7 linked regions of the Canis lupus familiaris genome follow. Each later gene encodes a partner of the first gene's protein in a complex. Links are inferred from orthologs where the notes say so. Each region holds a gene or a part of one and is shown in the gene's direction. Other genes may lie near its edges.

Region 1 (3,674 bases):
CCTGGGTGAGCAATAGACAGAATGGCTTGGCTACCTGACATAGGCCTGTCTTTTTTCCCTAGGTACGTGAATGGTTCCACTTACCAGCGCTGGCAGTTCACACTGCCCATGATGTCCACTCTATACCGCTTGGCCAATCAGCTCCTGACAGACTTGGTAGATGATAACTACTTCTATCTCTTTGATCTGAAAGCCTTCTTCACGTCCAAGGCACTCAATATGGCCATTCCTGGAGGCCCCAAATTTGAACCTCTTGTTCGAGACATCAACCTCCAGTAAGTTGGAGATACTAGGGATTATAGGCACCTCGGATTGAGTAAAATCTAATCTTGATCCTTGAGATGCCATTGTAGTTTCCAAACTCCCCAACTAGTCTGCTCATCCTTGATAATGTACCCTAGGGATGAAGACTGGAATGAATTCAACGATATTAACAAGATCATCATCCGGCAGCCTATCCGCACTGAATACAAGATTGCTTTTCCCTATCTGTACAACAACCTTCCACACCATGTCCACCTTACCTGGTGAGAGCTAGAGCAAAGGGGGAGAGGGGGGAGAGGATATTGGGCCAGGGCAGGAGAACCTGAGTTTATTACTCTTCCTTTATTTTAGGTACCACACTCCTAATGTTGTGTTCATCAAAACTGAGGATCCTGATCTCCCAGCTTTCTACTTTGATCCTTTGATCAACCCAATTTCTCACAGGCACTCTGTCAAGGTAAGACCTTAGTTCTTTTTTCTTTTTTTTTAAGATTTTATTTATTCATGAGAGAGAGAGAGAGAGAGAGAGAGAGAGGCAGAAACACAGGCAGAGGGAGAAGCAGGCTTCATGCAGGGAGCCTGATATGGGACTCCATCCCAGGTCTCCAGGTTCAGGCCCTGGGCTGAAGACGGCGCTAAACCACTGAGTCACCCGGGCTACCAAGATCTTAGTTCTTTGAAGAGAAATTTGCTGACTGTAGCTGAAGTGTTACTAAATAAAAATTGAACTACCTATTTAGTGTTCCCTTTGAGCTTTGATATGTCAGTAAAGTGCTTGGTTTAAACTAAGTTATTTGTATAATCTGGGTTTTTGTGATTGGGACTTTCCATATAGTAATTTCAGGGCTGTTTGCATTATGAATTTTTTCCAATCCTTTTATTAGATATATTTATTAGTTCACATACCGTACAACTCACCCATTTAAAGTTTATAATTCAGTGGTATTTAGTTTATTCACAGAGTAGTTTAGCTATATCCACAGACAATTTTCCAACCTTTTCATCATCCCAGAAATTCCCATACCATTAGCAGTCGCTGTTTCCCTCCCCTAGTCAACTCCTAGTCTTTCTGTAGATTTGCCTCTTCTGGAGGTTTCATATAAATGGGATCTTTCAGTATGTGGTCTTTTGTGATTGGCCTTTTTTTTTTTTTTATTTATTTATTTTTTTTTTTTTTGGCCTTTTTTTTTTTTTTAAGAGTTTATTTATTTATTCATGAGAGACAGAAAGGCAGAGACATGGGCAGAGATCTAGGCAGGCTCCCCACGGGAACCTGATATAGGACTCGATCCCAGCACTCTGGGATCACGCCCAGAGCCAAAAGCAGACACATCCCTCTGATTGGTTTGAAATAATGTTTTTGATGTTTACCCATGTTCTATAGTGTTCTTAACAGACCTCCCTACTCTAGCTTAGTTTTTGTGTTTACTTAACATATTGGGGCTCCTTTGGGAGGCCTTTGGTGGTGAGCCCGTTAGGGTGTGATGCTTGCTTTCTGCTTGGCCCTAGCTTGTTCTCTACTCCCTTGGCCCTTTTTGCCCTGGCCCTTTAGGGCTTCTCTTGTCTGGCAGCCCAGTTTCCATGGTAGATGGCACCACTGTGCTCAGCCCCAGATAATTTCCCTCTCATCCCAGTTCTCTGTTCAGTTCAGTGGGAGCTGAACCCTTGGGGGTTGTTCTTTCAGAGCCAGGAACCATTACCTGATGATGACGAGGAGTTTGAACTCCCAGAGTTTGTGGAGCCCTTCCTGAAGGACACACCCCTTTACACAGACAATACAGCCAATGGCATTGCCCTGCTCTGGGCCCCAAGGCCCTTCAACCTACGCTCTGGTCGTACCCGCCGGGCCCTGGACATCCCCCTTGTCAAGAACTGGTAAGACTAATACCTGGGGAGATGATAGTAGATGTATAGGAGAAAAGAATTCCAACTGGGTTGACATTCAGTCTTTACCAGAGGGATTAGAAGGAGAAATGGGCTAGCTCTGGTTGGCTAATTTTCTCAGGTATCGGGAGCATTGTCCTGCTGGGCAACCTGTGAAAGTGAGGGTCTCCTACCAGAAACTTCTTAAGTACTATGTGCTGAATGCCCTGAAGCACCGGCCCCCTAAAGCCCAAAAGAAGAGGTAAGGTGCCTGAGGGTCATTGCTCAGACTTCTTTTGTTCCAAATTTAACCAAGAAGCTAATTCTTACTTTTCCACTTATTCCCACCCCAGGTACCTGTTTCGTTCCTTCAAAGCTACCAAATTCTTTCAGTCCACAAAGCTGGACTGGGTAGAGGTGGGGCTTCAGGTTTGCCGCCAGGGCTACAACATGCTCAACCTTCTTATTCACCGAAAAAACCTCAACTATCTGCATCTGGATTATAACTTCAATCTTAAGCCTGTCAAGACCCTCACTACCAAGGTGTCTGCATTGTACTTTAAGGGTCTTCTGGGCTTGAGGGATGGACTGGTTTTGCTCTGTCCTCTGAGGAAGGCATACATCCAGTTGGGACCATTACTGATCAATGTTTGTTTGTTTGTTTGTTTGTTTTTTCTATTCTTGGCACCTTCTCCAGGAAAGAAAGAAATCTCGTTTTGGAAATGCTTTCCATCTGTGTCGAGAAGTTCTGCGTTTAACCAAGTTGGTGGTGGACAGTCATGTGCAGTATCGCTTGGGCAATGTGGATGCCTTCCAGGTGAGGCCAAGTATCCCTGATCCCTGCCCTAGGTAGGGAAGCTGAATGAAGCCTAAGCTGATCATGGAGCTGGCTCTAGCTTAAAGCCTGATGGAGTCATTGTGTTGCAGCTGGCAGATGGGTTGCAGTATATCTTTGCCCATGTGGGGCAACTGACGGGCATGTACCGGTACAAATACAAGCTGATGCGGCAGATTCGCATGTGCAAGGACCTGAAGCATCTCATCTATTACCGCTTCAATACGGTTGGACCCTGCCCTCATACTCTCACTTTCTTCATCCAGTTTGTTCATTTGTTCATTCTTTCATTCATTCATTCATTCATTCATTCATTCATTCATTCATTCATTGTGTTTGGAAGGCAGAGGGAGAGAAAAAGAATCTTAACTAGGTCCACACTGAGTGTGAGGCCTGATATGGGGCTCAATCTCATGACCCCGAGTCTCAGATCCATTTTAATTTTTATGTCTAGTCAGCGTTCCTTCCGGGGACCAATTTAGAGAAAGGTTCTGAGCGTTTCATTACTTGCCCTCACCTTATTAATTGTAACACTTTCCATTGAAGCCTGCCTTTAAATAGAGAATCCCAGTTACTGGTTTCTGTGTTAGAATTTCTCATTTATTCCATTTTTGATGTTGAGGTCCCAGAGTTTTGCCTCTTTGCCCCTCTGTTGCCTGAGATGTGTTCCTCTTGACCCCATCTGTGTGTGCAGTTTTTTCTTGCTCTCTAA
Region 2 (3,674 bases), on another chromosome or scaffold:
CCGCTGACCCATGGGAAGTGAGCCAGTGGCAGCTGGGGTTTGGGAAACGCTTGGTGTCTGGTAAATGCTTGGTGTTGGCGGATGAATCCTCCCATTGACTCTGCCCCCTTTCTGCTGCCTCAGGATCTCCGGCGGAAAGCGGCTCGGCTGGTGGCTGCCAAGTGCACACTGGCAGCCCGTGTGGACAGCTTCCACGAGAGCACAGAAGGGAAGGTGAGGCACAGCAGGCATCTGTGTGGGTCTGTCTCCTCTACCAGACTTGTCATTGTTCAGGTCATCACTGAGTTTACCTCTATCTCTCTTGGCAGACTTGCTCCATGAAAGTGGGTATATCTTGTCTTGTGCAGTCTGGCACAGTGTCCAGGCTTCAGTCTCTTTCTCTCACTGCCCCCCACTTTTCCTCTTGACCACTGGTTGAGGTTCCAGTGGGGACAGCAGTGAGCACTCCGACCAAAGCCATGCCCCTGTGGCATTCATGTTCTGGCTGGGGGCGGGGTGAGGACACGGGCCATCTGTGGTGTGTCCAGGGATGCCACATAAATGCTAGGGTGGGATCAAAGGGTGCTGGGCTGGTGAGGGAGGTTGAGTTTAACCCGGACGTTGGGGAGGGCTTTGCTGCAAAGGTGAAGGTCTAATCTGCACCCAAGTGAAGTTGGTGCAAGTGAAGCAAGTTGGTGAAGTGAAGCAAGTCAAGTGAGTGCCTGGGGGAAGAGTCCTAGGAAGGAGAAGCAGCCAGTGCAATGGCCCTGAGCCTGGCCCACAGGAAGCCAGGGAGAGGAGGCTGTGGGATGGGACAGGTCACGCAGAGCCTGTGTGCCCCAGAGAGACCTTGGCTGTAGCAGAGATGCTGAGGGGTGCGATTTGGGGTCTTAACTGAAGGAAAAGCCCAGAGGGAGAGAAGCCAGAGGTGAGGCTCCCAAGTGACCTCCCTTTACCAACTTGTGCAGGCCGGAGCTGGAGGCTGGGGAAGAGGTGCAGGTGTGCGGTTTGGCCCTGTTGCACTCGGGGGCTGCCCTCCTTCTCCCCCATCAAGGACAGAATTATATGAGGGGTGCTGGGAGAAGTCTGAGTCTCCCAAGAAACACAGGCCCCCCAGGCCTGGGAACAGGTGCCACACACAGGTAGAGGGATGGGCAAGGCTCAATGGGACCCCCTGCCCTCCCCAGGTGGGATATGAGCTGAAGGATGAAATCGAGCGCAAGTTTGACAAATGGCAGGAGCCGCCGCCCGTGAAGCAGGTGAAGCCCCTGCCTGCACCCCTGGACGGGCAGCGCAAGAAGCGAGGTGGCCGCAGGTAGGCCCTGAGGGCCAGTGGGGGTGAAGAGGAGGGGAAGGGGCTTGTGACCCCAGCTGACCCCTGGCGCCCCTCCCCAGGTACCGCAAGATGAAGGAGCGGCTAGGGCTGACCGAGATCCGGAAGCAGGCCAACCGCATGAGCTTCGGAGAGGTCAAAGCCTTAGTCTGGATGTCCCCACCACATTTCTTCTCGGCTGAGGCAGCACCTCACCTCCAGCCTCCCCCCACATCCATGTACCCTGAAGGGACCTATGCAGCATTCAGTGTTGGCCCTGTCCCCCGACCCCCACCCTTTTGTACACACCTCCCTGTCGGGTTGGATCTGCCCAGGGAGGGTCCTTCCTCAGGCTTCACCTCTGCCAGACTCATTACCCAAGCATCATCCTCATGGTCCTGCAAGAACCAGCTCAAACACCCTCTAGTCAGCAAGCCCAGTTTTGGTTGTTGACACTGCATACATGAACACTCACAGCTTCCCTCAACTGTCAGCTCAGGGAGCCGTAATAGGACTGGACTCCTCACTGGGCCCCAGCAGGCACCTGAATCGGGTCAGTGCCTGGGGCATCCGGCTGATGAAAGATGGCTAACTCTTGGTTACCTTCCCCTCCCACCAGATCGAGGAAGACGCCTACCAAGAGGACCTGGGCTTCAGCCTGGGCCATCTGGGCAAATCAGGCAGCGGGCGGGTACGGCAGACACAGGTGAACGAGGCCACCAAAGCCAGGATCTCTAAGACACTGCAGGTACAGGCGGGGCCTGAGTGGGCCTGGGAGTCTGGGAGCTCCAGCAGGAGAGCCCAAGCCAAGCCCAAACATCCTGTCCCCTCCCCTCCACACAGCGGACCCTGCAGAAGCAGAGTGTCGTGTATGGCGGGAAGTCCACCATCCGTGACCGCTCCTCGGGGACTGCTTCCAGTGTGGCTTTCACCCCTTTGCAGGTACTGTGCACCTGAGTCAGGAGGCCCAGTTCTGGGCAGGCTCTACTCCCAGCTTTCTGAGTGGACCTGGGCAAGCCCCTTCCTCTCGCAGGGCTGTTGTGGACAGCCTTGTGTATCAGTGAAGCCCCTGAAAGGTACAGCTCAGTTCCTGGTGCTCAGGCTAGTGGGAGCAGAAGGGAAAAGGTCTGCCTGCAAGTGCAGGCTGGCTTTAGGATCGGGCTGGGACTAGGGGTGACTACTGATTCCCCATGACCTCAAGTGGGCTCAGCTCCTCCCTGAGGTGCTAAGTGGCTGGGACAACCTCAGGGCTCCACGGAAGAAAACTCAAAGGTAGCTGGCTGGGAAGCAGAGGTCCCAGCCCAGCCACTCATGCACAGGACAGAGCCTCTGCATCTGTCCATTTCTCAGCCTACCCACAGATAGCGCCAGCACGCCCCATAGCATCGAGTAGAATAACTGAGTTCATTGGCAACATCAGCAAGGGTGTACTGAGCACCTAAGTTTCAGGTGCTGTTGCAGGCACTGGGGATAGAGCCACAAGCACAAGACAGCAAGCCTTGCCCTCAGGGAGCTTGTGGGGTGGCAGGGGTCAGATAAGATATGGAGCCTGGTGGAAAGTGGAAAGTGCAGGGAAGAAAGGGGAGAGGGAGTGAGGCATCGGGTTGGACCCGCCCAGGGAGGCCTCAGCAAGAAGGTCAGAATTACCTGTGGAAGATACTGGGAATGGTGCCAGCCAGTGTGGAGCCCCCACAGCTGGACGCCGTGTCACCAGTAGGCTTGGTGTAATTTGCACGAGGGCCAGAGGTGAGCCACTTAGCTCTGTGACTCAGTTTCCTTATTCAGGAACCAAACCCGGTCAGCTGTTCTGAAACATTGATTTTTTTTTTTTAAGATTTTTATTTATTTATTTATTCATGAGAGACATACAGAGAGAGAGAGACAGAGACACAGGCAGAGGGAGAAGCAGGCTCCATGCAGGAGGCCTGATGTGGGACCCCATCCCGGGTCTCCAGGATCATCAGGCCCTGGGCTGAAGGCGGCGCTAAACTGCTGAGCCACCTGGGCTGCCCAACATTGATGCTTTTAAAATTGCTTAGAGAACTTGATAAAAATTCAGATGCCCAGGTCCTCCCCACTCTTCCCTCTTCCCAGAGCCACAGTTAGAATCTCCCCAGGTTTGGGGTGGGGGCAATTTGGTAATTGGAAAACTGTTCTATCACCTGGAGCCCGGAACCATTGAAAAGGGCCTCCCCGACATGTCACAATTCTCTTACTGGGTAAGGGGGCCTTGTCAGGGGCCAGCCCATCTCCCCACCCCATCATTACCTCATTCACCTGCCCAGGGCCTAGAGATTGTGAACCCACAAGCAGCTGAGAAGAAGGTGGCTGAAGCCAACCAGAAGTATTTCTCCAGCATGGCCGAGTTCCTCAAGGTCAAGGG
Region 3 (4,319 bases), on another chromosome or scaffold:
CCTCCAGCATCGGAGGTTTCCAGAAGAAATCCTAGGCTAAGGAAAGTCCCTCTAAACCCACCAGGTCCAGCCCACCTCAATCCTGATGGGGAAATCGAGGCCGAGAGAGAGGAAGGGACTCTTCCAAATAGCTGACTTTCAGATTGGAACCCAGAATTCCCAGTGTTACTACTGCAGACTCTCCCTCTTAGGTAGAACCACCTATTACAGAACAAGCCCAAAGCCTCAGTTCGTTAGCAACGGGCATGCGCTCTATCGACGGAGACCGCAGCACCTGCAGCTTGGGCCAGACGACACAGCCACGTCAACCTGAGACCTCAGGGAAGGGGAGGCGGGGAATGAGGGCTCCCGCGGTGCCCGTGCCCCTGCCGGGCCTCACCCGCAGCTCCCGGCCCCGCGGCAGCTCCTCAGTCTGGTGGTGCCAGCCGCTCCAGATGGTGTAGGTCGCCGAAGCCAGGGCCAGGGCCAGCAGAAGCAGAGGCAAGAAGTGCGCCCGCGGGAGCAGGCGGCGCTTGGGCGGGGAGGGCGGCTCCAAGAGGCCACGTTCCCCGAGCCGTAGCCGGGACCGCCCGCGGCCCCCGGAAGGCATGGCAGCTTCGCCCCGAAACCGGTCCCGGACCGCGGATAGTTTAGGCCCAGCCAAATCCCACCCCATGGAATCACCGAACCAATAAACACGAAGAGCGGCTGCACCATCCCACCCACCCTCGGTCAGTGAAACCAATGGCGACCCTCACTCTGAGAACACGCCTTCCTGTCTCCCTGGGGCTTTGGGGTTGGTTCCCCTGAGGGTTGCACAACCCAAAAGGGTAGTGCGAAAGGGAGAGGCTCCGCCTCAACGGAGGAACGGAAGCCAATGAGCAATGTTTGATCCTGAAAAACGTTGGACCAAGGAGCAGGTCTCCGCCCCTCCCGTAGGAAGGCAAAGGATTGGTTACTCGAAGTCGGAAAGATCAATAGACACGTAAACGAACCGACACCGATGGAAAAGGGGCGGTGCCCGTCCCAGAAGCGAGGAGCCGATTGGCTACACGGAGGCCGCGCCCCCGAGGGCGGAGCCGGCGGGCTTTTGGAATGCCGTGTCCTGTCCCTTCTTCAGCTTGTGCCGCTCTACAACGAAACGATTTGAGTCGGACCCGCTTTATTCTTCTCTCCATTGTCTTCTCTCCATATGGTCCTGAAAGACCCTGAGCTACTACGCAGTGCTTCTACCCCACGTCTGCGCGGGGCCGGCGCGGATTGCCACGGCAACAGGCCTCGCCCACACCGTGCAGGTTGGGATTGCGCAGGCGCCGACGGAAGTCGGCCACAGGAAACGGAAGTCCCGCCTGTAGCCCTCTCTTCAGAGGCAGGAGCAACGCGGGGAAGACGGAGCTGATCTGCGAGCGCAGCCGCTACCACCATGTGAGGCCCGGCGGGAGTGGGGTCGAGGGCGTAGATGTGGCCGTTTGCCGGTGGTGGGCGAGGCGGGATCGGAGGCAGAGGTTTTAGGGGTAAAGTACGCACCGTTCTGACGAGTTTGAGGATGGGCATGGGGCCTTTTACGGGTCCTGAGTTCGAGGGAAGGCACTTGATCAGTTAATGAGCCGGGATTTCCCCGATAATGAGTCTCGCTGAAATGGATTTTAAGGGGAAGCAAAGAACCTGGGAAACGGGAGTGCGGAGTTTTAGAAATAACGGTTTGAGGTACGGGACTTACCCGGACAATTTGAGCTGGAGAAGTTCACCTCATTCGCGACTTTTTCGGCTCACGAATCGCCTTAATGATTTTCCTGATTTGGTATTCATTCAGCAATTATTTATTGAGCACTCATGTATTAGGCACTGCTTTAACTACGTGAGATACATCAGTGACTGCGACCCCCATCCCGCAAGAAAAATGCCCTGCTGCAGCTTATGGGTGTGGGAAAAGGCAGACAATGAACACACCGGTGATAAAAATGTAAAGTGTATGGCGTGTGTTAGGTGATCAGAGCTAAGTGAGTAAAGAAGCAAAAGAGCAGGATCCAAACAATGGGGAGTACTAGTTTTGAGAGAAAGTAACTCAATAACCAGTGCAGGACACATTGAGAAGGCAGCAGTTGAGCAGAGACCTGAAGAACCTGAGAACCACAAAGATACCTGGGGAGGTATCCAGGCAGAGGGAAAACGAAGGGAGATGCCCAAGGTGAAAGTCTGTCTAATATCTTATATATTTTTTAAAGATTTTATTTACTTGTGAGAGACACAGAGAAGCAGTATCCCCACAGGGAGCCCGATGTGGGACTCGATCCCAGCATCCCTGGGTCAGGATCTTTTTTTTTTTTTTTTTTTAAGATTTTATTTATTTATTCATGATAGACATAGGGGGAGAGAGAGGCAGAGACTCAGGCAGAGGGAGAAGCAGGCTCCATGCAGGGAGCCCGATGTGGGACTTGATCCCGGGACTCCAGGATCGTGCCCTGGGCCAAAGGCAGACGCTAAACCGCTGAGCCACCCAGGGATTCCCCCTGGGTCAGGATCTGAGCCGAAAGCAGATGCTCAGCCATTGAGCTACCCAGGCGCCCCTTGCCTAATATCTTAAAGGACCACCTTCAAGGCCACTGGCTGGAACAGAGAAGGATGGGAAGATGCCAGGCATTGTAAAAACTTTGGGTTTTACTTTTTACACAGAGATGGGAGCCATGGGAGGGTTTCGAAGAGTGAAATGATATGACTTAGATTTTGATACAACCTCTGGGACTGCTGTGGAGAACAGACGGTCAGCGGCATGGGCTGAGGTAGGGAGACAAGTAAGGCTCTCAGGAGAGAGATGATAGAGGTTTAGGCCATGGTAAGAAACAGATTCTGGGTATATTTTAGAGGCAGATGACAGAATTTGCTGACATTGAATGTAGGATGTGAGAGAGAAGAGTCAAGTTGATATCAGGGTTTCTGCTCAAGGAACTAGAATGATGGAGATGAGGAAGGCTGTGGAAAGAGTAGGTTTGAGTGATTGGGAGATCTGGAGCTCAACTGAGGATGTATACGGTTGGAAATGTCTATTCAGCATCCAGCTGGTGATGCCATGCAAGAGGGACTGAGCAGGGGGGTGGGTGGGTTGGGGAGACATCATGTGACCACCCACGCTCTAGCTCTGGGCCTCTCACCTACGGGTTCCATGCTTGCCCCTCAGGAGCCTCCTCAACAAACCCAAGAGTGAGATGACCCCAGAGGAGCTACAGAAGCGGGAGGAGGAAGAGTTTAACACGGGTCCGCTCTCTGTGCTCACACAGTCAGTCAAGAACAACACCCAGGTGCTTATCAACTGCCGCAACAACAAGAAGCTCCTGGGCCGTGTGAAGGCTTTCGACAGGTAAGCACCTGGGTCCTGGAAGGTGTTCTGTCTTGGAAATGCAGACACAGTTCCAGTGTGAGGAACCCAAATACAAGGTTTTCAGAGTCCTGGGGCATAAGCATATTCAGACCTCAAAGTGCAATGGTGTCTTGTTGTCCTTCCAGCTGTGCAGTACAGTAGTGATGGGCATGTACTTGGGAGCCAGGCTTCCTGGGTTTGTGTCTCGACTCTGCCTCTTAGCAGCCATGAAACCTTCAACAAGTAACTTTATCTCTTCCATTCAATGGCAGTAATTCTGGTGATTGCAGAGATTCAGTGACTTAATACATGTGATGTGTAATACAGTCATTAGAAGTACAGCATCTGGCACCAGGAAGCTCTTATTAATCAGGTTTTGCAGTTACGATATAAAGTACCATGCCCCAAAAGAAAAAAATAAAGTACCATGCCCAGTACTTTTTTTAGGCTCCAGAGACACAGCAATGACTGAAAGAGGACTCCTATACTTAAGAGAGCTTATGCCATAGGTAGGGAAACCAACAGCAAGCACACAAACAATGTGTCATAAGAATAGTAAAGGCAGGTGAGAGTGTGGAGTGCTGGGAAGGAGGTGTTGTCCTAGACGGTAACGCTAGGGGTTCCATAGGAAGAGACCGTGATGAACAGACCTAAATACAATGAAGGAGGAAGCCAGGGTCTGAGTGTTTCAGCCAGAGGGAACAGCAAGTGTTATTTCCTCTCTCGGCCTCAGTGTCCTTGTCTGCAAACTGTGCGTCATAAAAATACCCCTCATAGAACAGTTGTGAGGATTAAATATTTCTGTAGGAAGGGTACTTGGCTCAGTAGCTAACATGATAAATGCTCAATAAACATAAAACCTGCAGCCTTCAGTTAGCATTTGGGAAGTGGTATGGCGAAGTGTAAGTCTAGAATGTTTTTGCCACGAGCTGTTACATGACCATGAATAAGTCTTTTCACTTGGAGCCTCGGTTTCTTCTCAAGG
Region 4 (3,602 bases), on another chromosome or scaffold:
AATTTTACTTTTGTCCACATATGTATTTTTTTAAATTTAATGTGTAATATGTATATGTAATACTTTGTTTTGCTCTTTCACTAAACACTGTAAACAGTTTTCCAGTTAACTGTATGGTTTTTAAAAGTCATGTTAAAAATACTCTCAAGTGAGGAACAGAGTACTTACCCCAATCATTTCCTTCTTTTCTCATACATTGAGACTCATACATTGAAGCCTTTCCAATTACAAATGCAAGGGATTTACCATATTTTTTGGTTAAAGTGTATGTCTATATTCATAACTCTTGGATTGGTTTCCAGTAGAAATTGCTTCTGTTATATAGGTCACTGTAAGTCTTCGTGACCACAACTGGTCATATGATAACCCAAGTCCATTGTACTAATTAATACTAAAGAAGACCAGTGAGGAGGTAGTCCCAGACTATGAGATTACATGCCCAATTTCACCACCAGGTGAGAATCAGCTAGGATTGGACCTCATTTCTCTGATGCCAGGTCAAGTGCTCTTGTCTGCCTTTTAAATGGAGTCCTGGCCCTTTGTTGATTTAATTTTCATAGGAATATTATAGGTTGAGTTGTGGTGTGTTATCTCTAGACTTCCTCTTAAGTTCTTCTAGCCTATGGTAGAGGTGACAGCTAGGCACATAATCTTGGGTGGAAGAGGAATTAACACATAGGGGTGGTGGGGTAGTGTTTTTAAGGTGTTTCGATGCCTCATATATCTTAGGGGCTCCTTTGGCAATGATATTCCAAAGTGTACTTCTGATTCTCTAGGTCCCCAGCATTTTACCATATTTCTTTATTTCTTAGACTGGCATTGCCCGAGTGCCACTTGCTGGAGCTGCCGGGGGCCCAGGGATTGGCAGGGCTGCTGGTAGAGGAATTCCAGCTGGTGTTCCAATGCCCCAGGCTCCTGCAGGACTTGCAGGGCCAGTCCGAGGGGTTGGTGGGCCATCCCAGCAGGTAAGGAGTTGGGGGAAGGCACCAGCTTCTTGTGATTAAAATGAAGGATAGAGAGAGAGGGCCCACAGTTTGGGAAGAGTCCAGAAGAACCAACCTCCGACCATCAGGATGTCAGTATTTCATTGTGCTTTATATGTAGTCCTAGAATCAGATGAGAAGGAAAACTTAACATTGTACATTATTTTGATGCTATTGAAGTAAAGAGATGCATAAAAGGTATTTTTGCTGCCCATTTTGGGGCAGAATATTGCCATGACAACATGAGCTATGCTCTCTTACAGCCTGTTAGTAGTTACACCAACAGTGCTGGTGCTGTCTATGATTTGGACTGGGCCTCCGTAACTCAGGCCTGGTAGATGGGAATGAGCATTTAGGCTTGGTCTTCTCTGGCAGATGGTTTCAGATAGCCTGGTACCTCGGGTTGTAGCTTAGGGGATGGCATGTCTGCTGGGTCTTAACTGAGTTAAGGGAGAGTGGGATGCTGTGTTGTACTGCCCTGTTCTGCCTGACTCTGCTTCTGTGTCCTCTTAGGTGATGACCCCGCAGGGAAGAGGCACTGTGGCTGCTGCTGCCGCTGCTGCCACTGCCAGCATTGCAGGGGCCCCGACCCAGTACCCGCCCGGCCGTGGGGGTCCTCCCCCACCTATGGGCCGGGGGGCACCGCCTCCAGGTGAGGAGCCCTTTAAGGAGACCACAGCTACCTGATGGGAGATAACCTGAGCTGGATTCATGATGAGACATAACATTGACTGAAACTGATGATGAGTTTGGGTAATTAAGCAGGATTACTCTGAGATCCAGCGTGACTGACCATGGAACTAGCCAGACAAGAGCCATAGGGAGCCCCACCTCTTTGGCTCAAGACCCAGTTTCTTAGGAGAGACTGGGAGGGTGGAAGGTCCATCTGTCTCAGAACTTAGTGGACAGCTTTGTTATGTTGCCTGCTACCTTTTTGAGGCAGATACTTGAGCTGTATTCTTGGGCCTTTTCTCTTGTAGGCATGATGGGCCCACCACCTGGCATGAGGCCTCCCATGGGCCCCCCAATGGGGATCCCTCCTGGTCGAGGAACTCCAATGGGCATGCCCCCGCCGGGGATGCGGCCCCCTCCCCCGGGCATGCGAGGTAAGTACGAACAGCAGTGACTCGACTTCTTTAGAGCATGTTGGGATGGGAAATGGAGGGAAGGTTAGATTTTGCTGTACCCTCTGTGCTTCTAGGCCTTAAGCCAAGGGAAGTGAAGAGTGCAACTTTGTCCACAAAGGAAAGAGGGAAAAGGCATTTCTTAAAATCAGCGTTCCCTCCCTCTTAGAGCAATTAGAGTGGTCCTGTACCCAGGGCTCTTCTCAGTGTAGAAGGCAGTGTTCTGGGGGCACTGTGAAATACATTCTGAGAGTCCCCAGCAAAGGCCCTGGGATTGTCTTAGGCCTTTGGTTCTGTTTCTGTTTAACTCCAGTTTGAGAAATGTTGAGATAGATTAGCCCTCTCATTTTATAGATAAGATAATGGGCCCTGAGAGCTTAGCATCCTGCCTCCCAGATTGGTGTTCTTTGCCCCAAGCTATAGTGGCCTTTAAGATAACCCACAGCCACAGTGGGTGACCCCTGTCTCTAGTTCAGGCTTTTTGTTGGTGGGTTTTATAAGCATAAGAAATCCATACATATCCGAGAAGTCCCTAGTTAGTGTGTATGTTATGTCCCTCTGATCCCTTGGTACCTGCAGGGTGTGGGAGGCTGGGGTGGTGGTTGGGGCTGGGGATTTGAGTTGCTGATCAGGCACTGACTAAACTTCTTACTCTTACTTCAGGCCTCCTTTGACCCTTGACCACAGAGTTATGGAAGTAGCTCCACAGAGGCGTGGGCCCGATTGCCACAGACGTGTTTGTTTGTTATGCCGTTGTTCTTGGAGTCTCACAGGATTGTCTGGTTTCCCTTTCAGGGCCCCCTCCCCCGGGAATGCGCCCACCAAGGCCCTAGACTCATCTTGGCCCTCCTCAGCTCCCTGCCTGTTTCCCGTCAGGCTGTACATAGTCCTTTTACTTCCTTGTAGCCTGTGAAACTAGTTTATAATAAACTCTTAAGAATATTGTATTCGGCGTGTCTGTTTAATTTTAGAAAATGAGGTCCTTAATAGAGTCAAGAAAGGTTGCCCTGGAAAAGTTAGCACTAATCTTAGCTGCTTCCCTTATAAAATATTTTAATACACATTCACAGAGATGCACAGCCTCATACTGAGAATTAACAAAATTGGATGAGACATTCCCACGTACCAAACTGGCAAAGATTAGTTTGTTGAAGTAAATACTCATGCTGTTGGTGATGGTGGAGTTAGCAAATCTTTGGAAGACACTCCTTTAGACACTCCTTTTGATAGCCTTTTGTGCAGTACTTGAGATTATATTCATTTTCACATGATAAAGTAGGAGGCTGATACTAAAAATGGTAAACAATCCTATTGAGAGGGGAACAATTTTGGTAGAACTTTCTCCTAGCATCACACACATGCATATAACCTAACCTAACTTTTTTCTTTTTCTTTTAACCTAACAACTTTTGAGTTGGAGATATCCATGATTTCTTCCACTTAAAGTCTGTGTTTAACAAGATAGTTACTGAGTAGCACATCAAGCTTCAAGGGT
Region 5 (4,468 bases), on another chromosome or scaffold:
TGCCCCCCCCCCCCAACCATCCTCCTTGCTCTCTTTCTTCTTCACCACCTTCCTGTGTATTCTCAGGCCTCTCCTGCTTTGTCTCACCAGGGTCCCCACCTTTTACATTGTTTCCCTCCAGCCCCTATCTGGGGAAGGGGTCTTCCCTTGAGCTCCAGGGGGTGGAACCCAATGTTTACATTCTCTTCTATCTCTGCTCCTATCCTATGCAGCGCTTTGAGGAATCAGAAAAGAACCTGCTGTTGTACCTGGGCCCGTCTCCTGCTTTGTTATTTGATAGAGGGGGTTAGAATAAGGACTGGGCAGGGGGTGGGAAACAGTGGAGCAGGCCAGGATCCAGGCATCTACCGAAGCTGTGGGCTGGTCTTGGCACGTGGGTACCTCTTGGCCTTTGGTCCACCTTTCAGTCACTCATCAGCTGCTGAGCTCCTGTTCCTCTTTTGCCTGGGATCTGCTGCCCCCATTGTTAGCCTGGGGCCCTCTACGCACCACCTGCAGCACCCGGATCTCCTTTCCAAAGTGCTCATGCAATTCCTGGAAGCTGGAGGGGATACCGAGGGTGGCAAGAAAGCCACAGTCCTCTGGGGGTGAGCTGGGCTCTTGGCCAGCTGCCTGGCACAGCTCCCGGTACTGGGCCTCCAGGGGGGGTAGTAGCGCCACCAGCCGCCTCCAGCTCGCCCCAGCTAGTGCCCACAGCCAGGCTCCCAGCTCTTCCTGGTTTTCTGCTGCCAATTTGTAGGCACGCCCAGCTGTTCCCTCAACCCTAGGGGTCAGTATGGTAAAGGCATAGGGTTCTGTGGCCCCAAGGCGTGGCTCCACCCGACAGTTTTCCAAGAGAATGAGGCCCAGGGGTGTGTGGTCCGCCTGGTTCTCCAGGTAGAAGAGGAGGTTTCCCCGGAGGATGAACCAGCGGCGTTGATAGCTGATATTTCGGGCTCCTTTCTTCAGCAAGATGCCCTCGCGGTCTGGAGCTTTTCTGTATCCACGGAAGAAATTGAGTACGGATTTCTGGTGCAGTTTCATGGTAGTCCAATCTGGGAGTAGACCTTGGGGGCAGGAGAGAGAGCTGGTCCTAGCCTAGTGGGATTTAAGAGTGTCCTCAAGAGTACAGGTCTTGCTCCCCCCCCCCCCCCCCAGCACTGGGGCCGACACCTCCCACCTACAGTTCTCCCCTTTGGGCTAGTTTACAGACCCTGGGCAGGGGCCGCTGGCCTGGACCCCTATTTGCTTGCGCCTGTAGTTGGAGAGACGCACTGTTGCCCTTTTCCAGGCCTACCTGAAATCAGGGCACAAGAAACTTCGGCCTGGGTACTGGACACAGGTACCACCGTCACCTTTCCGAGACGGCTCTTCCCACCTCTCAAACCAGGAACTCCCCAGGGGATAGGTGTCGGGTAAATGACTTCCCCCGGGTCCTAAAGAGACCTGTGTTCGGCAAGTGCCCCGGAACCACCCCGGGCCTCCAGGCTGGCCATCAGAACCGGGTCTTGCCTCGGGGAAAAGAGCAGGGCCGCACCTCGGGGTAGGAGTGGACTGGACTGGACGCTGAGTGGAAAGGAAGGGTTTCCAAGAAGATTCTGGTGAGGGGCGCAAAGCCCTTGGGCAACCCTGGGGAAAGTGATTCAACTATGGAAAGGGAAACGGGCCATTGTCCCACTTTGCTCCTCCATCATGGTCCTGGGCGCCCCTTTAAGTAGAGTGCGCTCTGCTTTCTCCCCAGAGCCTCTGACTGCTGTCGGAGGGAATCGAAACCGCATCCGGCCATCTCTCTCGTCTGATCGGGGCCTAGGCGTTCGTACGTCCCCTGTTCTCGCCATTGTCGCCCCACACTGATCACGTCACTCTGGGTTGGGCGGGGAGGTGTTTCCCGCTCACTGTGTACTTCCGCCCGCTTCTCCACTTAGTCCCCTACCCCGAGTGAAGCCACTTCCGGCCTTCTCCAGCGCCTTCCGCAGTTCCCTTCCGGGTGATGGCGGCCGCTGCCCCGGACGTAGCCGTGGGGAAAGCAGCTCTCTTTTTCCTTCCCCGCCGGCCTCCCGTCGATCTTTAGGTGAGCGCGCGCCGGTGGGGTCCTGGAATCCTCGCGGTTCTGCCGCCCCTCTGATTTGTACACTTAGCCCGGGACAGTTGGGGGTCACCCCTCGGAGCCGGGAGTTCGGCGCGGGGAAGAGGGGGTCGGCCAGGACGCCAGGTCCTGGGTCCGCCCGGGCCCCGCGGGCTCTGAGGGAGCTGGGGGTGTAGGAGCCGGTGTCAGCCCTCAGAGCCTCGTCGCACCCAGGACTGCGGGGGCCAGGAATGGGGGGGCATGTGTGGGGGGTCTGTCTCCTTTCGTCAAGGGTGGGGGTTGCCCGTGGGAAGCCCCTCCGCGCGTCCGCCTCTCCGGCCCCGCACCAGCAACTCTTTTGGACCAAACCAAGTCCCCGGGGCCTCCTGGCGGCCGACTTCCCTTTCGGCCCCTGACTCTGCACCCTCTCTTCCCAAGCTGGATCTAGTGCGTACCAGGTGATTATTTGTTGTGCTGGCGGCCCTTCGGCGGTGAGTAGCCTCGCCCAGTTCCCTTAATCTGCACCCTTTCCCTCGCTCAGCTTGGCGAAGGCCCCTCTGTGCAGGCATGCCAAAGAGGAAAGTGACCTTCCAAGGCGTAGGAGATGAGGATGATGAGGATGAAATCAGTGTCCCCAAGAAGAAGGTGAGGTGGCCAGACTCCTGTATTCTGGGGAGGAGTGAGGGCAGGGAGAAGGAACTGGAGGCTAGAAGAGAAAGAAAGCTGGTGGGGATAAAGCGGTGAAAGGTCTCGCTTTTTCCATGTTCTCTGGGAAATGGGTTTGGAGAATTTTCAGTCTGAGAAAGCTTTGAAGAAAAACCTTCCTAGAGTACTTTGAGGAATAGCCGCAAACCTGCATCTCTCAACTTGCTGGCTCCTCACAGCTGGTGGATCCTGTGGCTGGGGCAGGGGGTCCTGGGAGCCGCTTCAAAGGCAAACACTCTTTGGACAGTGATGAGGAGGATGATGATGATGAGGGGTCCAGCAAATACGACATCCTGGCCTCAGAGGATGTGGAAGGTGAGCTAAACCCAAGAATTGTTGCTGCTGGAGGAACAGATGGGGTTTCACGGGATATGGGGTGGAGAAGGCTCTTGTCTGTTTTTGCTTGCTCAGCCTGGGCCACCTGTGTCTTTGGTGCAGGTCAGGAAGCAGCCACACTCCCCAGTGAGGGAGGTGTGCGGATCACACCTTTCAACCTGCAGGAAGAGATGGAGGAAGGCCACTTTGATGCTGATGGCAATTACTTTCTGAACCGGGATGCTCAGATCCGAGATAGCTGGCTGGACAACATTGACTGGGTGTGGCCCAGGGGTTGACTTTGGCTGGGGACCTGGAGGCAGCAAGTGCTGGGCTTGTGCCCTGCTCACGGTTTGTAAGAGATAACCGACCCCCCCCCCCCCACCCCGTTTTCATATCACAGGTGAAGATCAAGGAGCGGCCACCTGATCAGCGCCCACCTTCAGACTCAGAGGAAGAAGACAGCCTGGGCCAGACACCAATGAGTGCCCAAGCCCTCCTGGAGGGCCTTCTGGAGCTGCTGTTACCCAGAGAGACAGTGGCCGGGGCACTGAGGCGTCTGGGGGCCCGAGGAGGAGGAGGTGGCAAAGGGGGCAGCAAGGGGGCTGGGCGGCCTAGTTCCCCTCAGCGCTTGGATCGGCTCTCTGGGTTGGCTGACCAGATGGTGGCCCGGGGCAACCTCGGTGTATATCAGGAGACAAGGGAACGGTTAGCCATGCGGCTGAAGGGGTTGGGGTCCCGGACTCAGGGACCCCCTGACCCCACACCCCCACCCTCTCTGGACATGTTTGCTGAGGAAGTGGCAGAGGGGGAGCTGGAGACCCCAACCCCCACACAGAGGGGAGGTAAGATCAGAAGGCAGAGGAGGGGTGTTGGGGCAGGAGGTAGGGCACTTGAGGGCCAGATGGCTTTGCCTGTTGTTTTAGAAGCAGAATTGAAAGGAGATGATGGTCTGGTGGACGTGATGTGGGAATATAAGTGGGAGAACACAGGGGATGCTGAGCTGTATGGGCCCTTCACCAGCACCCAGATGCAGGTAAGCCCTTTCCTGCTTCTACCACTACCCCCCTTCCCTTCTCCCATGAGTCTTTCCCCAGCTCTGCTTTCCTTTCCTGCAGACCTGGGTGAACGAAGGCTACTTCGCAGATGGTGTTTATTGCCGGAAGCTGGACCCTCCCGGTGGACAGTTCTACAACTCCAAACGCATTGACTTTGACCTCTACACCTGAGTCTGCTGAGGGCCCAGTTTGGTGGTCCCTTCTTTCCTTGACTCTGGAGGAGGCCCCAGCTGTCTCAGGCATTGAGGATTTTGGGGGCCACCTTTCAGTCCATTTTCCTTTCCCAATAAAAGCCTTTAGTTGTATGTTAGGGCCTTGGCTGTGCTGATGGCCAGGAGCTAAGGTG
Region 6 (4,272 bases), on another chromosome or scaffold:
CCGTGGAGAAGCTGGGGAGCAAGGTCTCAGCCACTGTGTGCGGAGTCCACCCGACCCACCCCCGTCCTGGACCGGGGCCCAGCTGCCTCCTCCCACCCCCACCCCCTCGGGAGTGCTGGGTGATGTCACCATGAGCTGAGTGCAGGCACTGACCTGGTGTATGCTGAACTGGCCCCTTGAGGCCATGAGGGCCTGGCTGGGATTCATGTGGAGGGCTGACAGCTGCCTCCCTTGGCGCTTGTTTTGGAAACTGGCCCCAGCCCTACTTTTGGGGTCATCAGGTCTCAGTGAGGTCTGCCCCTCCTGCCACACCCCTCCACCTTGTGTGCCAGGGTGGGTCCCTGAGAGAACAGAGTGGCCCAAGGAGCAGCCCTGCTTACTTGCCCCTGCACGACCCTGGGGATCCTGGCCTGCAGGCACAGCACAGCCAGTCTGTGCTGGGGAGACCGAGACTGGGGGCGCCCCCAGGAGGGCGGTTCCCTGGGGCGCCCTCGCACAGCGGCACACTGCAGCTGCAGGCGGGGCTGGGGGGCTGGGGGGCCCCCAGGAGGGCAGGTCCCTGGGGCATCCTCACACAGCAGCACACTGCAGCTGCAGGTGGGGCTGGGGGGCCCCCAGGAGGGCGGGTCCCTGGGGCGCCCTCGCACAGCAGCACACTGCAGCTGCAGGCGGGGCTGGGGGGCCCCCAGGAGGGCAGGTCCCTGGGGCATCCTCACACAGTGGCACACTGCAGCTGCAGGCGGGGCTGGGGGGCCCCCAGGAGGGCGGGTCCCTGGGGCGCCCTGGCACAGCGGCACACTGCAGCTGCAGGTGAGGCTGGGGCGCCCCCAGGAGGGCGGGTCCCTGGGGCGCCCTCGCACAGCTGCACACTGCAGCTGCTGGCGGGGCTGGGGGGCCCCCAGGAGGGCGGGGTCCCTGGGGCATCCTCGCACAGCGGCACACTGCAGCTGCAGGCGGGGCTGGGGGGCTGGGGCATCCCGACCTAGCTGCCCGGTGCTGCCGCAGGCCATGCTGGGCGGCCCCGGAAACGAGGGGTCCGCGGGCTTCCCGAGCACTCCAGGACCGCGGCCCCGAGAGACGCGGCCAGACCGGCCGTCAGGTGGGCAGCACCGGCCGGGCCGTCGGGACCGCGAGCCGAGCGCTCAGACGGAACCCGGCCCCCCCCCACCCCCTCCCCCTCCCCCTCCCCCGACCCACGAGCGGGCGGCCCGCACTTCCGGCCTGACCGGAAGCACCCGGCGACGATGCCGCGTGCGACGATGCACTTCCGGCCTGAGGCGGCCGCTGTGCTCGCGACTTCCAGCAGGCGGCGCTGGGGCCCCGGGAACGCGGCGCTGGCCGTTAGTCCTGGAGCATTCTGGGAGTCGCAGTGCTGCCTCTTCCTCCTCCTCCTTTCCCTCCTCAATTCCGGCTCTTTGCGCGAAGGAGAGCCGACGTTTCCGGGGAGGGGGGAGGCTAGGGAGAAAAGCGAGGACGCATGCGCAGGGGCTACGGGACCCGACAGGCCTCGGGAGTAGCGTCCCGGTGCCTTGTGGGAGGTGTAGTTCTTCAGGTGCGGACGCCGAGGCGCCGGGCCGGCGGAAGACTCGGTTTCCCAGGAGGCCGAGCGCGGCGAAAGATGGAGGCGGCCCGGCGGCTTTGAGCCGGTAGGCTTGTGGCGCGGGAGAGAGGTCGCCTTTTCGCAGCCTCCTCGCCCCACATCCCCGAGGTGTTTCGCGTCTTTGGTGGCTCCCCGAGCCTGGTGAGCCGCGGCCCGCGTGCGGCCAGGCCCCCGCCGGGGCGGAGACAGCCGGCGCCGGCTTCCACGGGCGGCCGAGCGCGCCCCAGCCCTGCCCCGGCCGAGCCGCCGGCCTCCGCGGAGAAGCCCGGGAGCCGCCGCGGCCGCTCGCTGTCGCGGGGCGCTGTGCCCGACCCCGGGGCGCCCGCCGGCCCGGCCGCCCCCCCAGGTCGCGGCGGCGCCCCGCCCTCCGGAGCTCCTTCCCTCGCGGGGACGTGCCAGGAGAGGCTGCTGCCGGAGCCGCGGGCTTGCCCTGCCCGCAAGGATGCCCCGGGCGGCCGCTGACCCCCCACTTCCCCGCGGGCCTGACGGTCAGACGCGGAGGCCCCGGCTGCAGACCCGCGTGGAGTCCCGGGGCGTCTGGGCAGGCAGGGGCAGCCCTTGCCTTGCCCAGGCAGGTGGCGCAGCTGTGCCGAGCAGCTCGTGGACGGGCCGCCTGGTCGAGCGCCGTCGTGGAGCGCAGAGCCTGCTGCTGCCCCCGGGCTGGGCCCTGGCTGCTGCCTGCCTAACCCCCAGCGGGCCCCTAGACTTAGCTCAAGAGGGCTGAATGAAGATCTTCCCGAAGGGTCTGCGTCCAGGCCGGCCTGGGCCTGGGCCCCGGAAACCCAGGACCGCCCCCTGGGGGTCGCGGTACCGCTTTGCCCTGGTGCTCCCTGACGATTTGCCCTTCCCACCTTCTGCCCGCTACAGTTGAGCAGCTAAGCGGAGCCGGGACTGAGGCCACCGGGCGCCTTTGCCGGGACTTCACCCACCAGAATTCTGGTGTCTGCACAGACGTTCATCAGACAACGGAGGTGAGACGTTGAGGGGGGGGCGGGTGTGGGAATCTCTGTCCTTTGTTTGGTAGGACATAGCTCTTCCTTCTGGCCCTGCCGCCTGCCCAGGGACTGTGGGTTTATAGGAGGGGCCCGTCCTAAATGGGTGCAATCCTCAGAAACGAACTCTTTGGGCTGTTCTGGTCTAGGTGTGGTGGCCCTGGGACACATGTCTGAGGTAGGGGTAGGAGAGCCCCTGGAAGCCGAGCGAGGAACAGAGGATGACGCTCTGCCTTCCGACACCGTCTCTCTCAGTGACTCGGACTCCGATTTCAGCTTGCCTGGCGGTACTGAGATGGAAGCTCTGCCCCCGGGGGTGCTATCTGGGGAGGCCCAGGGGGACTCAGACCCCGATGAGACCCCTTTGCCTCCAAAAGGCCTCCCCACAGCCTCAGTACAGCCCTTCCACCTGAGAGGCACGAGCTCCACCTTCTCCTGGCGCAGCCGCAACATCTTTGACTGCCTGGAGGACGCAGCCAGGCAAGACCCGGGTGACCATGGGGATTTCATGCAGCCACCAGCATCCTCACACCAGCGTCCAGGAGAGGGCCCGGGCAGGGCCAGTCAGAGCCCTGCCCCCACGAAGTTGCCCCCCATCCCTGACTACATGGCCCACCCTGAGCGCTGGACCAAGTACAGCCTGGAAAACGTAGCCGAGGTCAGTGAGCAGAGCAATCAGGCTGCCGCCCTGGCCTTCCTGAGCTCCCAGAGCCTGGCTGGCCCCAGAGACTACATGCCGTCCTTCAACCAGGATCCCTCCAGCTGTGGGGAGGGAAGAGTCATCTTCACCAAACCGGCCCGAGCTGGCGAGGCCAGGCCTGAGAGGAAGAGGGCCCTGAGGAAGGCAGGAGAGTCAGGCAGGGGTGCCCCTGGGGACCTGGGAGCAGCAGGGGGCGAGGGCCCTGTGGAGCTGGCCCACCTGGCAGGGCCTGGGAGCCCAGAGGCTGAGGAAGAGAACAGCCCCCACGGGGGGCTACAGGAAGTGGACGTGCCACAGGGGGCTGCCCATGCTAGGTCAGCGGTGGGGCCCCCAGTGGTGGAGACTGTTGGCTTCCATGGTAGCAGGAAGCGGAGCAGGGACCATTTCCGGAACAAGAACAACACACCTGAGGCCCCAGGTGCAGAGATTTGAGAGAAGAGACTGCCTGGCTGGCGTTTCCTGACCATGCGGTGGAGGAGGGCAGCCGGGGTCACTGGCCACTTGGAGTGGAGTGGAGCTTGGGGCCCCCCGCCCTGGAAAGGGAGCCAGCGGTCTGCCAGTGTGAGGCGCCAGCAGCCTGGGCTAGGGCTCGGGATAGTGGTCTCTGAAGCAGACAGCTTGCCAGTGGACAGCAAAGACCCTGGCCCACCACATGCCTGTGGGGCCACAGTAAAGGTTTTGGGTGTTGCTTAGACTTTGTGTGTGTGTGTTTGTGTAGATCCTGCGCCTCGGGCCATTGTCTGCCATGCTGTACACCCAACACCCGGTTCTCTCATTTGAGCCTCTTCAACTTAATCTCCAGTGGGCATGGAGGCTTTTTAAATGCTTGCCTGGGTTCACCAGCAGGCCCTCTTTCCAGCTCTCCTGATCCAGAGCAAGAGGTGGAGAAGGCCCCAGGCCCTCGAGGGGGCAACCTCACAGTCCCAGGTGTCCAGCTTCTGCTCCCAACAGGGTGATGAGATGGGTCTCCAGGAGGCCGG
Region 7 (4,251 bases), on another chromosome or scaffold:
TCTAGGATCCCTGAAACTAAGAGGTCTTTTATATTTTAAATTTCATATACCTTGTATATTATATTTGTTAGTAGGCTTTCTCTTCCATTCATCCTTAAGCTTCTAGAAGGGCAGAAGACATTGTAGTTCTGTTTTGTACAGTTTTATACTCAGCAAAATGCCAAATAGTGTGTAGCTAATGCATATTTGTTCCATGAATGAATGATGTGTGTATTACAACTATCTGTTGTATGAATGAATGATGTTTTTTTCTGCTCTCTCCTGTTTAGACTCGTCAGCCTTACGTTCCTGGGATACAAATATGAAACAGACTTAAGGCAGAGAATTTGTTTGCTTTCTATTCTTTGCAAAACAGAAGTGCAAAAAGCCTGGGATCCCTGGGTGGCGCAGCGGTTTGGCGCCTGCCTTTGGCCCAGGGCGTGATCCTGGATACCCGGGATCGAATCCCACGTCGGGCTCCCGGTGCATGGAGCCTGCTTCTCCCTCTGCCTGTGTCTCTGCTTCTCTCTCTCTCTCTGTGACTGTCATAAATAAATAAAAATTTAAAAAAACAAAACAAAACAAAAAAAAAACAAAAAGCCTTAAGGTTTCCTGTGTGATGACATTAGCGGACAGTGACATCTGGTGGCTGCTTATAAGACAAGACAGTTAAGTGTTGAAAGTGGATACAGTCTGTGATAAATTGGACTCCTAGCTACAACAAGGTAAGAATGATAAGGTAGTAGGCATAAAAATAAAATGTGTTTTAAATTTCCACTGTAGAAGGTTTTTTTTCTTTTTAAATGCTGGTTGTGGGTTTTCAATTCACTGGACTTTAAAAAGAAGCACTAGATTCTTTTTTCTCTCTTCTTTAAATAGGCTCCGCACCCAACGTGGAGCCCAACCAGCGGATCCTGAGATCAAGACCTGAGCTGAGATCTAGTCTGAGGCTTAACCCACTGAGGCACATGGGCGCTCTAGGAGTAGATGCTTTGAAAAACGGCTTTTACAAAAACTGCAACACAGTGCATTAGTGGCAAAAAAAAAAAAAAAAAAAAAAATTTTTGGTTCGGTCTGAAAAAAGATCCTGGCTTGAGATGAGGTGCAACTTCATAGCAGAAAATAAGACGATTCAAAGATTTCCGTATTTTGCAAAACCTTCCGGGTTGCAGGAAGGATTTATTCACAAAGCAGGATCCCTTTAGCGTCTGTCTGTCGGAAACTGCCCGGGGAAAGCCGCTACGTGCCCAGACCGCACCACCTGCAGCGGACGGAACCTTCTCCCCGAGAGCTCAGCGCCCGGGAAAGAAGCGATTGGGAAGGAGCGACTCCTGCGGACTGATTGGATCGCAAGTTCGGCCTCCGATTGGTCGAGCCTGTCCGGGCCGCGGGCCGGCGGGGGGAGCGGAAGCGCGCTCTTTCAAACTTGCCGGGCTGACGGCGAGGCCGGCGGGCCACTTCCGGCGTAGCCATGGCGGCCAACGCTACCACTAACCCGTCGCAGCTGCTGCCTCTAGGTAATCGCGGAGAAGGGGACCGGAGGGCTCAGGCTAAGTGTTGGGGCCCGGGCGGCTGCGGCTGAAGTAGCCCTTGGTCGAGTGTTAGGGAAATGTGGGGATGAAGGGCCTCAGTGCTCCGCGGCTCGTCTGCCGGCTCCCGAGTGTCTGCGGCCCCGGGCCGCCCGGGAGCCTCTCTGCACTAGGCACGAGGGCTGGGCGCTCTTGGACAAATTCAGACGCCTCCCACTGCCTGCGGATAGCACACACACCAGGAGGAGATAGAGCGCTCCACCTGTAAGCATCACGCCGAGTGATAACGAAGCCAGCTAACGAGGCGTTCAAACTGCGGTCCGAACACAGAGATAGTGACAGGAAGAAATCTCTGGTGGATACGGTTGTGCCTCTTCCGATATTTTGTAGCCAAAGAGTTGATGGAGTTATCGGAAGTGGCCTTGTTTTGGAAGTTTTCATTCTTTGATTCCACCAACTCTTTTTGAACGCTTGCTATGTGCCAGACATTGCCCACTGAGGATAGAGTCCTGGGAAAACAACCACAGTTGTTTCATGGGGCTTAGACTCTTAAAAAAAAACATCAAACAAACATTTTTATTCATTCATGAGAGACACCCAGAGAGGTGGAGAAGCAGCCTCCATGCAGGGAGCCCGATGCAGGACTCGATCCTAGGACCCCAGGATCACGCCCTGGGCTGCAGGCAGGCGCTAAACCGCTGAACCACCTGGGCTGCAGGGGGTGGGGGGGGCTCAGATGTTAATTATATATTAATTATGCATTTCGTATGTTAATCAAAATCACTTAAAATAACATTAAACCACAACCGTGATGGATAAACTTCAACAAAGGAGAGGTAAGTGGTAAACAGGACGTTTTTGTTTATGCAACAGAGATAACGTACCGTAAAATCTCTAAAGTTTTTGAATGAATACTTTCTCTGGTTTATCTTTCACAGTAAGTAACTAACAAGTGCCAGTAGGCATTCCAATATTTGTTGAAGAAATGAACAGGTAAAATAATCTTTTTTTCTCCACCCCCCCACCCCTCTTTTTTTTTCTTTAAAAAAAAAAAATATATATATATATATATAGAGCTCGTGGACAAATGTATAGGATCAAGAATTCACATTGTGATGAAGAGTGATAAAGAAATTGTTGGCACACTTTTGGGATTTGATGACTTTGTCAGTATCCTTTCAAAAGGTGGTGGTGGTATGGGTTTTCCTGCAGTACTTAAGAACAGAAATAAGAATATGGACAGTCAGTACGTAACTGGTTATTGTATTAGAAATTTATTCACCTCTTGATAGCGTTTTAAGAGGTGTGTGTACTGAAAAAAGATAAAGTTCCTACCGATTACTAGTATTTTGCTCTGGAGCCATTGTATTAAACGTTGTAATTAAAATGGAGTAAAGATAGAAGCCAGAGTAAATTCAACCTGGTATATGTATTTTTCTTAACACCAAATTTCAGATATGGTACTGGAGGATGTCACTGAGTTGTGAGTAGTGTTAAAAATTAAAGAATTGGGGGGAATCTCTCCTTAAGTCAATTTTAGTATTAATGAGTTTAAAATGATTAATGAGAAAACATTGCCTGTCAGAAATACCTTAAAGATAGAAATTTTATCTACTGACACTGGTAAAATTGGATCAGTTATTACCGGATGTAATTATTATGTTATTATTAATGACTGGTAGGGACTTAGTGGAGACTGAGCTTTGAGATAAAAGATACTAAAAACAGCCAAGGATGTTTGTGCTCAGACAAATCAAGGCATTAAACTTAAGATATAAATGATAGCTCCATTATATTAGTTTTAAAGATCACAACCAGTGTCTGCTTTCAAAATTGAGTTGATTACAGATTGGTTTAATGGGTAAGGGATTAGTAGTAAATAATAGTAAAAAGGTGAGGCTAGTAAACATTCCATTTCATATTTGATCTCTTTGGCCAGTTTTAGCTTCTTTTAGTTTTGATCCTAGTGGATGTGGATCTGAGGCCAGTCAGTTCACTGTGTTGCCTTTGGTCATCCAGTGGATAACCTTTGTCTCTGAAAACTACTGACATAATTGCTCAACCTCATATTCATATAATATAAGAATAACTTTTTTAGGGATCAGAATGTTGGCTTTGATTATCATTGTTTATCTTGACTCTTTTATTTCTTCATTTAGTGAAATCACACCAGAAGGAAGAAGGATCACTAAATTAGATCAAATTTTGCTAAATGGAAATAATATAACAATGGTAAGGTACAGTAAAGCTGGGCGTTTTTTTAGATGTAGCCCATTTTTGTGAGGCAGAGATTACAGATTACTTGGCTTGGTTAAATAAATGTTCATGGCCCAGTGGGTTTAAGTTGGGAATGAGATGCTCCTGTGATCAGGGCTCTAAAGCTGAGCTACTGAACATGACAATAGGCTTAAAGATTAGTTTGCTTGGGCTTTTTAATCTTTTGGTTTGCCAAGAATCATTGTTTAGACTCTAAGTATTAATTGACGATGTTGGGATTATAAACAGAAGCAATGACCTGGAGAAAATGGGAATGTGGGGGAGGAGCAAAGAGGCCAGGTATCTTTGATGGGTGAAAAGGGGTTTTTAGATGATGGGTGTGGTGGTGGTATTAATAAGCTCTTTTTCCTTCTCTGCAGCTAGTTCCTGGAGGAGAAGGTCCTGAAGTATGAATGGATTTCCTTACTCTCTTTTGTCCTATAATGACAACAAAATCGATTTTTTTTTAAGCCTTTTAATGTTTGGA

The links.
Region 2: PRPF8 (region 1) and PRPF31 share a complex: the UniProt entries of both Homo sapiens proteins name them as parts of the U4/U6-U5 tri-snRNP complex. The link is inferred for Canis lupus familiaris from reciprocal best matches to the Homo sapiens genes PRPF8 and PRPF31.
Region 3: PRPF8 (region 1) and SNRPD2 share a complex: the UniProt entries of both Homo sapiens proteins name them as parts of the U4/U6-U5 tri-snRNP complex. The link is inferred for Canis lupus familiaris from reciprocal best matches to the Homo sapiens genes PRPF8 and SNRPD2.
Region 4: PRPF8 (region 1) and SNRPB share a complex: the UniProt entries of both Homo sapiens proteins name them as parts of the U4/U6-U5 tri-snRNP complex. The link is inferred for Canis lupus familiaris from reciprocal best matches to the Homo sapiens genes PRPF8 and SNRPB.
Region 5: PRPF8 (region 1) and CD2BP2 share a complex: the UniProt entries of both Homo sapiens proteins name them as parts of the U5 snRNP complex. The link is inferred for Canis lupus familiaris from reciprocal best matches to the Homo sapiens genes PRPF8 and CD2BP2.
Region 6: the proteins of PRPF8 (region 1) and TSSC4 are in contact, whole or in part, in a cryo-EM structure (PDB 7PX3), measured with the Homo sapiens proteins. The link is inferred for Canis lupus familiaris from reciprocal best matches to the Homo sapiens genes PRPF8 and TSSC4. Residues at the interface, in NP_006436.3 of Homo sapiens: Thr2087, Asn2088, His2089, Ile2090, Tyr2091, Val2092, Ser2093, Ser2094, Asp2095, Lys2108, Leu2111, Lys2112, Glu2184, Thr2219, Pro2220, Thr2224, Leu2225, Leu2262, Leu2263; in NP_001284587.1 of Homo sapiens: Pro153, Asp154, Tyr155, Glu160, Arg161, Trp162, Thr163, Lys164, Tyr165, Ser166, Leu167.
Region 7: PRPF8 (region 1) and LSM5 share a complex: the UniProt entries of both Homo sapiens proteins name them as parts of the U4/U6-U5 tri-snRNP complex. The link is inferred for Canis lupus familiaris from reciprocal best matches to the Homo sapiens genes PRPF8 and LSM5.

Annotation. Positions count from the first base shown.
Region 1 is NC_049230.1:45,766,856-45,770,529, reverse strand, and holds part of PRPF8 (pre-mRNA-processing-splicing factor 8), read left to right. Parts: intron 1-62; coding exon 63-275; intron 276-401; coding exon 402-527; intron 528-615; coding exon 616-721; intron 722-1,948; coding exon 1,949-2,139; intron 2,140-2,269; coding exon 2,270-2,389; intron 2,390-2,480; coding exon 2,481-2,670; intron 2,671-2,824; coding exon 2,825-2,944; intron 2,945-3,054; coding exon 3,055-3,189; intron 3,190-3,674. UniProt on the Homo sapiens protein: Plays a role in pre-mRNA splicing as core component of precatalytic, catalytic and postcatalytic spliceosomal complexes, both of the predominant U2-type spliceosome and the minor U12-type spliceosome.
Region 2 is NC_049222.1:103,832,247-103,835,920, reverse strand, and holds part of PRPF31 (U4/U6 small nuclear ribonucleoprotein Prp31), read left to right. Parts: intron 1-123; coding exon 124-213; intron 214-1,166; coding exon 1,167-1,294; intron 1,295-1,374; coding exon 1,375-1,447; intron 1,448-1,910; coding exon 1,911-2,039; intron 2,040-2,134; coding exon 2,135-2,233; intron 2,234-3,576; coding exon 3,577-3,674. UniProt on the Homo sapiens protein: Involved in pre-mRNA splicing as component of the spliceosome. Required for the assembly of the U4/U5/U6 tri-snRNP complex, one of the building blocks of the spliceosome.
Region 3 is NC_049222.1:110,602,223-110,606,541, forward strand, and holds the start of SNRPD2 (small nuclear ribonucleoprotein Sm D2), read left to right. Parts: upstream 1-1,353; 5' UTR 1,354-1,402; coding exon 1,403-1,404; intron 1,405-3,154; coding exon 3,155-3,334; intron 3,335-4,319. Other genes in the region: QPCTL (glutaminyl-peptide cyclotransferase-like protein), read right to left, coding at 380-655. UniProt on the Homo sapiens protein: Plays a role in pre-mRNA splicing as a core component of the spliceosomal U1, U2, U4 and U5 small nuclear ribonucleoproteins (snRNPs), the building blocks of the spliceosome.
Region 4 is NC_049245.1:19,133,303-19,136,904, forward strand, and holds the end of SNRPB (small nuclear ribonucleoprotein-associated proteins B and B'), read left to right. Parts: intron 1-812; coding exon 813-965; intron 966-1,496; coding exon 1,497-1,635; intron 1,636-1,963; coding exon 1,964-2,089; intron 2,090-2,770; coding exon 2,771-2,781; 3' UTR 2,782-3,052; downstream 3,053-3,602. UniProt on the Homo sapiens protein: Plays a role in pre-mRNA splicing as a core component of the spliceosomal U1, U2, U4 and U5 small nuclear ribonucleoproteins (snRNPs), the building blocks of the spliceosome.
Region 5 is NC_049227.1:17,900,311-17,904,778, forward strand, and holds CD2BP2 (CD2 antigen cytoplasmic tail-binding protein 2), read left to right. Parts: upstream 1-1,512; 5' UTR 1,513-1,580; intron 1,581-1,720; 5' UTR 1,721-1,795; intron 1,796-1,904; 5' UTR 1,905-2,050; exon of another isoform or gene 2,051-2,207; intron 2,208-2,338; exon of another isoform or gene 2,339-2,482; 5' UTR 2,483-2,502; intron 2,503-2,585; 5' UTR 2,586-2,611; coding exon 2,612-2,689; intron 2,690-2,928; coding exon 2,929-3,064; intron 3,065-3,187; coding exon 3,188-3,345; intron 3,346-3,467; coding exon 3,468-3,909; intron 3,910-3,990; coding exon 3,991-4,100; intron 4,101-4,182; coding exon 4,183-4,293; 3' UTR 4,294-4,428; downstream 4,429-4,468. Other genes in the region: sesquipedalian-1-like, read right to left, coding at 415-1,023. UniProt on the Homo sapiens protein: Involved in pre-mRNA splicing as component of the U5 snRNP complex that is involved in spliceosome assembly.
Region 6 is NC_049239.1:46,929,450-46,933,721, forward strand, and holds TSSC4 (protein TSSC4), read left to right. Parts: upstream 1-1,453; 5' UTR 1,454-1,741; intron 1,742-2,467; 5' UTR 2,468-2,571; intron 2,572-2,741; 5' UTR 2,742-2,761; coding exon 2,762-3,724; 3' UTR 3,725-3,986; downstream 3,987-4,272. UniProt on the Homo sapiens protein: Protein associated with the U5 snRNP, during its maturation and its post-splicing recycling and which is required for spliceosomal tri-snRNP complex assembly in the nucleus.
Region 7 is NC_049235.1:44,955,592-44,959,842, reverse strand, and holds the start of LSM5 (U6 snRNA-associated Sm-like protein LSm5), read left to right. Parts: upstream 1-1,338; 5' UTR 1,339-1,450; coding exon 1,451-1,496; intron 1,497-2,582; coding exon 2,583-2,678; intron 2,679-2,963; coding exon 2,964-2,991; intron 2,992-3,667; coding exon 3,668-3,740; intron 3,741-4,144; coding exon 4,145-4,177; 3' UTR 4,178-4,251. UniProt on the Homo sapiens protein: Plays a role in pre-mRNA splicing as component of the U4/U6-U5 tri-snRNP complex that is involved in spliceosome assembly, and as component of the precatalytic spliceosome (spliceosome B complex).